Linked DNA regions of Mus musculus: region 1 is reported to be linked to region 2. The links are microRNA targets in miRTarBase. Many come from high-throughput screens and were not tested one by one. Region 2 holds a microRNA gene; the other region holds the end of a gene's coding sequence.
The links. Region 2 holds the annotated microRNA mmu-miR-495-3p (AAACAAACAUGGUGCACUUCUU, at 2,481-2,502, shown strand). A microRNA usually pairs through its seed, bases 2 to 8, with sites in the 3' UTR of a target mRNA and lowers its output. Matches are read on the target gene's strand: a 7mer-m8 pairs with bases 2 to 8, a 7mer-A1 pairs with bases 2 to 7 and ends in A, and an 8mer does both.

Region 1 (4,060 bases), not on the chromosome of region 2:
CTTCTTTACCTGGTTTACTGACCATTCTGACGCAGGTGCTGATGAGTTAGGAGAGGTCATCAAAGATGACATCTGGCCAAATCCCTTGCAGTACTACCTGGTGAGTAAGCGTCAGTGGCTTGAAAGAGGTAATGTGTCCAATAGAATGAATGAGTCCCTAAAAGAACATTGCCTGCTGCTCTCAGGTTCCCGACATGGATGATGAAGAAGGAGAGGCAGAAGATGATGATGACGACGACGAAGAGGAGGAGGGGCTGGAAGATATTGATGAAGAAGGAGATGAGGATGAAGGTGAAGAAGATGACGATGAGGATGAAGGGGAGGAAGGAGAGGTAAGGAAGGAGAGGTACACCCAAGCCCCAGTATTTATAAAATATAATGTGTGATAGGGAACTGGCTGGAATAGTGGGACAGTTGTGGGAGTGGAGTGTTAACATCTGAGTCTTCCCTCTTTTTTAAATGTAATTATATATGTATGGGTGATTATGTATGTGTCTGCACTGCATGATTCAGAAGGTGTAGGATCCCATTGGTTTGAGATTGTGAGCCGCTGTGGGTCCCTCCACATCAGTGCTAAGTTAATGAAGATTCCAGTTTAGGCTGGGAGAGCTGGTGAAGGGCAGGGTGCGTGCGCTGGAGGCTGACTGCTCCTTGTTCTTTCAGGAGGACGAAGGCGAGGATGATTAGCACAGAAGACTGATGGATTCCAACCTTCTTTTTTATTTTCTTTTTATTTTTTAATTTTCTCCAGTCCCTGGGAGCAAGTTGCAGTCCTTTCCTCCCTGTCCCTCTGTGCTCAGTCGCCCTGTTTTGAGGTCTCAACATCATGGTTCTCAATTAATTTGGGGGGAAGTATCTTGAGCAAAATACAACAGGAAAAGAATCTCCGTTTCTGTTCTTAATTCATTTTTTATCCTTTCTTGTCTAAATTTGTGGATTCCACACCACCATGCTCTGTGGGAAAAAAGAAAAGCCCTCCAGTTCCCTTGGCTCTGCTGGAGGGCGCTAGGCCCCTGTGTAGTAGTTTATAGAATTTTAGCTTTTCTTCTTTTCTCTGTATATTGGGCTCAGAGATTACACTGTGTCTCTATGTGAATACAGACAGTTAGCATTTACCAACATGTATCTGTCTACTTTCTCTTGTTTAATAAAAAGAAAAAAAAAAAGAAAAAAAGGGGGGGTATAGACGGTGAGCAAGGGTGGGTTTGAGGTGTCTGGGGTAGGTGGGCATCTGACAACATGGCTTCTCCTTTGGCATGTTTAATTGTGTGGTTTAACAGACATCCTTGCAATTTAAGGTGACACTTAAAATAAAATTCTCTCCTGATGATGACTTGAGCCCTGACACTCAATGGGAGAATCAGCAGAACCTGTATGGTTTTATTTGGAGTTGACATTCTGTTGTAATTTTAATTTTTTTCTTTTTCTTTTTCTTTTTTTTTTTTTTTTTTTTGGTTTTCACTGGAAGGAAAAAGATGCTCATTTTAAATGTTGAAGTGTACAAGTTGCTTTGTTACAATAAAATCAGTGTGTACACAAAGGACCTGATGCTTTTCTGTCAACAGATGCTCAACAGACCTTCCAAGTTTGACTGCATAATGACATCACGTCAAACTTTGTCTCCCCAACTTCGTATTTTTTGATACGCACTTTGCAGGATGACCTCAGGGCTGTGCAGATTGAGAAAGGGATTTGAATCATGTCTTAACGTCTCCGTACTGAGTTGTGGGCACAGCTTGCTGCTGTGGACTTATACCCTTGATTTTTATCTCAATTTGGCATTTTCTTTTTAAAATGGGCCTTTACCCGGACCTCACGGCAGCACCTACCTGCTCCCACCGTTACTGACCCGTTGCTCTGTGCCATCTATGAGGGACAGCCGCTGACGTGTCCTCATTGGCAGTGTGAACTGTCAGGGTCAGCAGTCAGTGAGGTGGTTGGTAGTGTCTGTCACAGGTATGTAGCAGAAGCTCTCAGATGTGAGACTGACGTAGGTGGATGAAGAGCTGTCTGCTCAGCGCCATCGGGCAGAGGATAATGTTTGGGAAGCTACCTGATGCGTAAGCTTTTTAATGCTGTAAAATAGAGCTAAAATTCAATGCCACTTTTTCAGAGATGATTAATGGACAGCCTGGTCAAATTCAAAGCTTTCTGATGTATAAAACTTTATAAATGGAACTACTCCATCAATAGGCAAAGTGTAACCAAAATCTGTCTAGATGGATAGTGTGTAATTTCTGCACAGGACTCTGTTTAGTAAATACATCACTGTATACGTCAGGAATCTTGCTCCAATAAAGGAACATAAAGATTTTTTTTGGACTGGGGTCATTCTCCTTGTTTTGTAGTGACTTAGAAGATGCAGTCATGGCTGGGGTTCAAGTGATACTGGCTTGGCAGTAATCAGGGCCCAAATGGTGTGCAGAAGGTTGGTTGTGGACACCAGATTCATAACCATTTGACTCTGCATGTGGTTGGGGGAGGGTGCTGACCTAAATGAATACTGACCCCAGGAGAGAGAGTATATGTGTGTGTGTGACAAAATAGAAATAGCATTGTATCACTGAGCTATGTCTCTACACTCCCTTTTGTTTTTGTATGTGTGTGGGTTTTGGGGAATATGAGCTTCCCATCACCCACTGCACTGCGGTCTTCCTTATGTGTGCTCTGTGTGATTATTTGTATGAGTATTTTGCTTGCTTGTATGTCTGCAAGAACAGTTTTCTGGAAGGACGGGAGAGGGAGTTAAAAGTCCTTGGGCCTAGAGATTCTAGTTCCCCTGCTATTGTTACTATCTCACATAAGAATCAGGTGAAGCCATGCGGTAGTGGTGCACGCCTTTATTCCCATCGCTTGGGAGGCAGAGGCAGGCGGATTTGTCAGTTTGAGGCCAGCCTGGTCTACAGAGTGAGTTCCAGAGAACTACACAGAGAACCCTGTCTCGAAAAAAAGAAAATCAGGTTGAAGTAAGCCAAACCTGGGTTGTCATGAAGGGGTATATGAGACAGGGAAGGGCTAGCATAACAGGCCACATTGCTTAGCTACTGAGCTCTCAGACTGGGTGTGGGAAGTTAAGGTTTCATTGTTTTAAAATAAAAAATTTAGCTGGATGGGGTTGTGCATGCTTTTAATCGGTGGTCTAGTAACAGGCATGTTGAGAGGGTGACTTTCTGCAGCTGCTAGTGAGCTGCTTCCCATCCCAGTTCCAAAGCAGCGTTCCCTGTAGAGCATAGCCTGTGGTTGACATTCCCTGTAGAGCATAGCCTGTGGTTGGGTTGACATGACTGGGGCAGACACTGGAGGCTCTGCGTTCAAGGACATCTAGAGCTGCACAAAGCTCTGCTTTGTTTTGTGGGAGCCTGGCCTACAGAGTTCCAGGACTGCCAGAGCTACAAAAAAGCACAAGTTTAAGCTTTGGTATCTTTGGTTTTTTGAGACCTGGATGTCCTGGAACTCTAGACCAGGCTGGCCTCAAATTCACAGAAATCTGCCTACCTCTGCTTCCCAAGTGCTGGGATTAAAGGCGTGCGCCACCACTGCCCAGCTTGGAAAAAAGGTTTTCGATAACACCACAGCCCTGTGAGTACATCTGTAATGGGACCTGATGCCCTCTTTTGGGTGTGTCTGAACAGCAACAGTGTACTCACCTGTAAATATAAAGTCTTTTAAAAAGTTACTTTGTGTATGTGTGTTGGTGTTGAGTTTGTGTAAAATGTCTGAGCATATGCCCTGTAAGCGGATATTCCCTTGGCGGGGCCACTGGAGCAGGACAGTATTTGTGAACCACCTAATGGGTGGTAGGATCCAAACACTCAGACTCTGGTATACAGATGCTTGTAACCACTGAGCCATTTCCTGAGCACACACCCACATTTAATTGGGGATGGGTGGTCTTGTGTTTGTTTGCATATCTTTTGAGGTGTCTATATCCTGACTGTTCTAGGAATTTGCTATGTAGACCATGCTGGCCAGGTATCCAGAGATCTGCTTTCTTGAGTGTTGGGATTGAAGGCATGCTCTACCATCCCCATCTCTAATTTTTATCAGGTCTAATGGGTTG
Region 2 (4,066 bases):
AAGGTATGTCATGGTGTTCTGTCTGAAAGAATATATTATATTTTCATGTGTGTCCTTCTTTACTAATGCTGAGTATGCCTTCCATACCTAGGACGACCTCCTGATGTATTGCTACCCTGGGGGTGAAGGTGGCTTCCTTGCCCCTCCTCCAGGCTCCTGGCAAGTGGTTCTTGCAGCCATGGCAGAGACATAGAAAGTAAGTAGGAACTCTCCGACTGAGATTAGGAACTACTGTGATTCTGCTCATGTTTCATTGGTCAAGCCAATGAAGGGTGGGGAGGTGCCCTGTAGCCATGTCATGAGGGAGAGAACATGTGTACAAGCATAGGCAACCAACTATCTACCTGGAACACCTAAGAAGTCTATCTTTATTCATGTTCTTTTTTTTTTTTAATCTCAATGTTCCATTTCCCAGCAAGTGGAGGGTCAACAGAATCTGTTCTCAGAACACCACATGCCACTTACATATATTTTTGTCCAGGAGACATTGTCTCGTTCTGACAAAGGCTCAGATATCTTTTTGTTTCCCATTTCATGATAACCTCCTTGCATCAGGGCCTCCACCGTGGAACATAGGTTGATGTCCTCCCCTCTAGCAGATGGGTGGTGACCTCGACTGAGAGGTCACGGGACCCACCTCCTCTCTTGTCACGGATCCAGAGCTGGACTTTGGGAAGCAAAGTCAGGATTATTATATCATTCTCTGATGTTTGAGGAGACTCCAAAGACCTCCCCAAAGGATGACCAATCCAAAGCCTGTCTACAAGATCCTGATTCTGCCTGCGTGGAGCGGGCACAGCTGTGAGAGCCCCCTAGGTACAGCGGGGCTGCAGCGTGATCGCCTGCTCACGCACAGGAAGTGACGACAGCGGTACTCAAGCCACAGGAAGTGACGACAGCGGTACACAAGTGGTACACAGGGTTCCATGCTGCTGACGTACGGTGCTTAATGAGAAGTTGCCCGCGTGTTTTTCGCTTTATATGTGACGAAACATTCGCGGTGCACTTCTTTTTCAGCATCCTATTCTACGTTGAAGACTTCGGGGGTTCAACTACTTACTGACTTCAGGGAAGCCATGTTAGTCTAGGAAAGTAGTCTATGTAGTGAGCCTGGGTTGTGTGAGTTTATCTCCCTTCTTGAATGGTCCTCTGACCTTTCTTAATGAGAATGGGTTTGGGTTGGTTGGCTCCTGCTCCCTCCTCCCTCCTCCACAACACAGTGTCAAAGGAACCAGTTGACCAGACATTATTGATTCCTAGATGAGACCTTAGCCCACAGGGAGATGTTTGCTGAGACTTCTGGGAGGGGAATGAGTCTTCATTTCTGTGAGAGATGTCTGAGTGGATCTCACTGTTCCCTGAGTTTGAAGGCCAGCTAGAATTCAAGAGGACAGTACCCAGGGCTGTTTAGACAGAGGGGGAAGTGCCTGTCCCAGAGGAACCATGGGACATTTGAGTAACAGTACAATCTGGGACCTGCATCCGACACTCCTTGAAGCTCAACACGTCACTGTACCTTTAAGTTATATTAGCCTGGATGCCTCCTTTGTGTGTAAGTCAGCTTGAGGTGGGCCTTTCCTTACTATGAGAGGAATGGATGGCTCCTTGTTGAGTGGCCTGTCAATGAGTGTAACTGGCATTCTTTGGATGGTATGTTCTCTTGCTCATTATTCCCATTGTCCAGTCTAAGGTAGGTAGTTGGTACCAAGTCACTTTCCTTTGTGGTTCAGATATATTGCTGTAGTGTTGTAACCTTCCAGTAACGGTAACACACACTAATCAATGCGTTTTGTTTTCAGGGAAGGGTCGGTCATATGTCCCGTTCAGGACAGCCGCAAGATGATGAACGGACATTGCATCCCCAGACATCTCACACGCTCAGAATCCTGGAGCCTCCCATTTCAACCTGTTCTTCTGCTTCCCAGTACCCTGTGAGCTCTTTGTTGTATTTGTCTACATCGTAAGTCACTTCTGGGTGCGGGAGAGGGGGGACCTCAGAGGGCATCATCCAGGCACTCACACAGCTGGTTTAGGCTGCCCTGGATTTTGCCACCTAGTTCTTTGACTTTTTTTTTTTTTCTCAGCTTCAGAAGAGGATCCTGGAACTGAGAGAGGAGATTCTGTCTTGGAGTTTGGCACCATCCCATTTCCCCCGAGTGACACTTCAGAATGACTGGCAAGGATGGTAGGCAACATCTCAGAATCTTCAGTCTTCGTCCCAGGTCTTCCTGAGATCCTGAGGTAGAGGGGGTTTGGGCTGGATTGCTATGGCAGTGATGAGTACTGAGCCACTCCCCTTGCCTCAGGACCCCCATCCCTGTCCCCCTCCCGGCCAAGTATCTGCCTCACCCACCATCCCTTCCTTCCGCCTGTCCCTCAGCATCCCTTCACACTCAGGCACACTGCTGGAACAAGCAAGAGCTCAGCCGTGGTACCTGAAAAGAAGTTGCCCATGTTATTTTTCGCTTTTATTTGTGACGAAACAAACATGGTGCACTTCTTTTTCGATATCAAATCTCACCTTGGAGAGCTCCCCATGGACCAGAGGGAGGACGGGAGGCCAGGGGGTTTGGGTCACCATGTGCACAGGGGCATTTACCTCAAAGAAGCACAATTTCACCTGCCCCTCTTGGCTCTGTGCATTGTTAGGTCCAGAATGCCCACCTCCTGGGACAGGCACAGTCAGTAAGGGAAACCAGGAAGCGCACTTTTAGGCTCTGTTGTAGGATGGAGTTCAGATAAGAGAAGCCCAGAAAATTATAAAATCCAAACAATAGCAATTTAATCAAACAGCCAATACAAGCCAAACCACCAATTCCTTCTGGAGACATGTGTCTAGATGTCAGCTGCAGGTGTCTTTACCAAGATATGTCAGTTGGTGAGTGTCACATAACACTATGACTCTAGAAAAGCCTGGGCCCCAGATCAGCTCTTTACCAGCATCCTGCCATGTCTACGGGCTGTGCTCTTTGATGCCATTAGCAAGGCCTTGAGGACTGGTGGGTGCTGGCTACGATTGGGACCAGGGAACAGCAAGCTGTCATCAGCCACTGCTGCCTGTCTCTTATCTCTGATACTGGTACCCCTGCCCTCTGGAGTGGTAGATGTAAGGCGGCACTTCAGACCCCTTTTCCCTAGTGAACTTCTCTTTATGGCTAACATTCTCTGGTAGCCTCCTCATGGCATCAAAATTGCCTTTGAGTGTGGTTGTTTGAGCAGGGCCCTTTGGTGGCTCTCTTGTGAGAGTGGGAGGGAGGATACAATCCAGAGAGTATGAGAACACCTCATCCATCCATCTCCCCTGGAGGGTTTCCGAAGCTGAGCCAGTACAAGATATGGGATCACTCTTAGGCAACCCTTTGCTAGGATACTAGCTATTTCTTTCTTTGCTCAAGTTGGAATAAAAGCTTTGTTTATACTTACGTGGCTCAACAACCATAGCGCATCAAAACCCAGTGCAAACTCCATCTAAGAGGTACCAGGATTAGCCACACACTTAGCTCTTAGTTTCTACTGGCTCAGTGATGCCCTTGGGCTGTGGCTGTACCTGTGTTTTGGCTTCTGCCTATAAAAGATGGAAACACCTTTGGAAAAGCAGCAACTCTCCCTTTATACCCATGGAGAAAGGCTAAGGGGCATGGAACAAGCATGGTCAACCCATTTTCTTAGGTTGAAAATCCCTTTCCATCTAGTGGGTACTGGCCTCGGTGCTGGTGGAGCAGTGAGCACGCCATACATTATATCTGTGACACCTGCCACCCAGCCCAAGGCCCCTAGGCCCACAAACTTCTGGAGGGGAGTTTGTCTTGGATTCATCCAAGGAATGCAAAGGACACCTGGACAGAAATGCCTCTGGTGGTCATCCCAAGGTAACCGGACTTGTTCAGTTCCATTTCACATTTAGCTTTGTGCTTTATTGGCAGGCTTCTAAGGGCTGCTATTCACCCCTACATCCCAGGTACGTATAGGCCCAGAGGGAGCCTTCCATCTTTGAGGGTAGAATATTCTCTGGGCACAATACCTCACCAGCTGTCTTTTTCACAGGAGAAGCCTGGGCAGGATTGCC

Region 1: miRTarBase lists Set as a target of mmu-miR-495-3p. Seed matches in the 3' UTR shown: 7mer-A1 at 1,510-1,516.

What each region holds. Positions count from the first base shown.
Region 1 is chr2:30,070,256-30,074,315 of GRCm38, forward strand. Set (SET nuclear oncogene) reads left to right here. Exons shown (of 8, transcript NM_001204875.1): 6 at 1-100; 7 at 186-332; 8 at 664-2,322. The coding sequence ends at 687. Among named protein-coding and RNA genes, the nearest start is that of Set, 5.8 kb to the left of the region's middle.
Region 2 is chr12:109,716,315-109,720,380 of GRCm38, forward strand. Mir495 (microRNA 495) reads left to right here and starts at 2,440; the gene lies at 2,440-2,502. Mir666 (microRNA 666) reads left to right here and starts at 771; the gene lies at 771-869. It overlaps Mir543 (microRNA 543), which reads left to right and starts at 944; the gene lies at 944-1,019. It overlaps Mir667 (microRNA 667), which reads left to right and starts at 3,692; the gene lies at 3,692-3,783.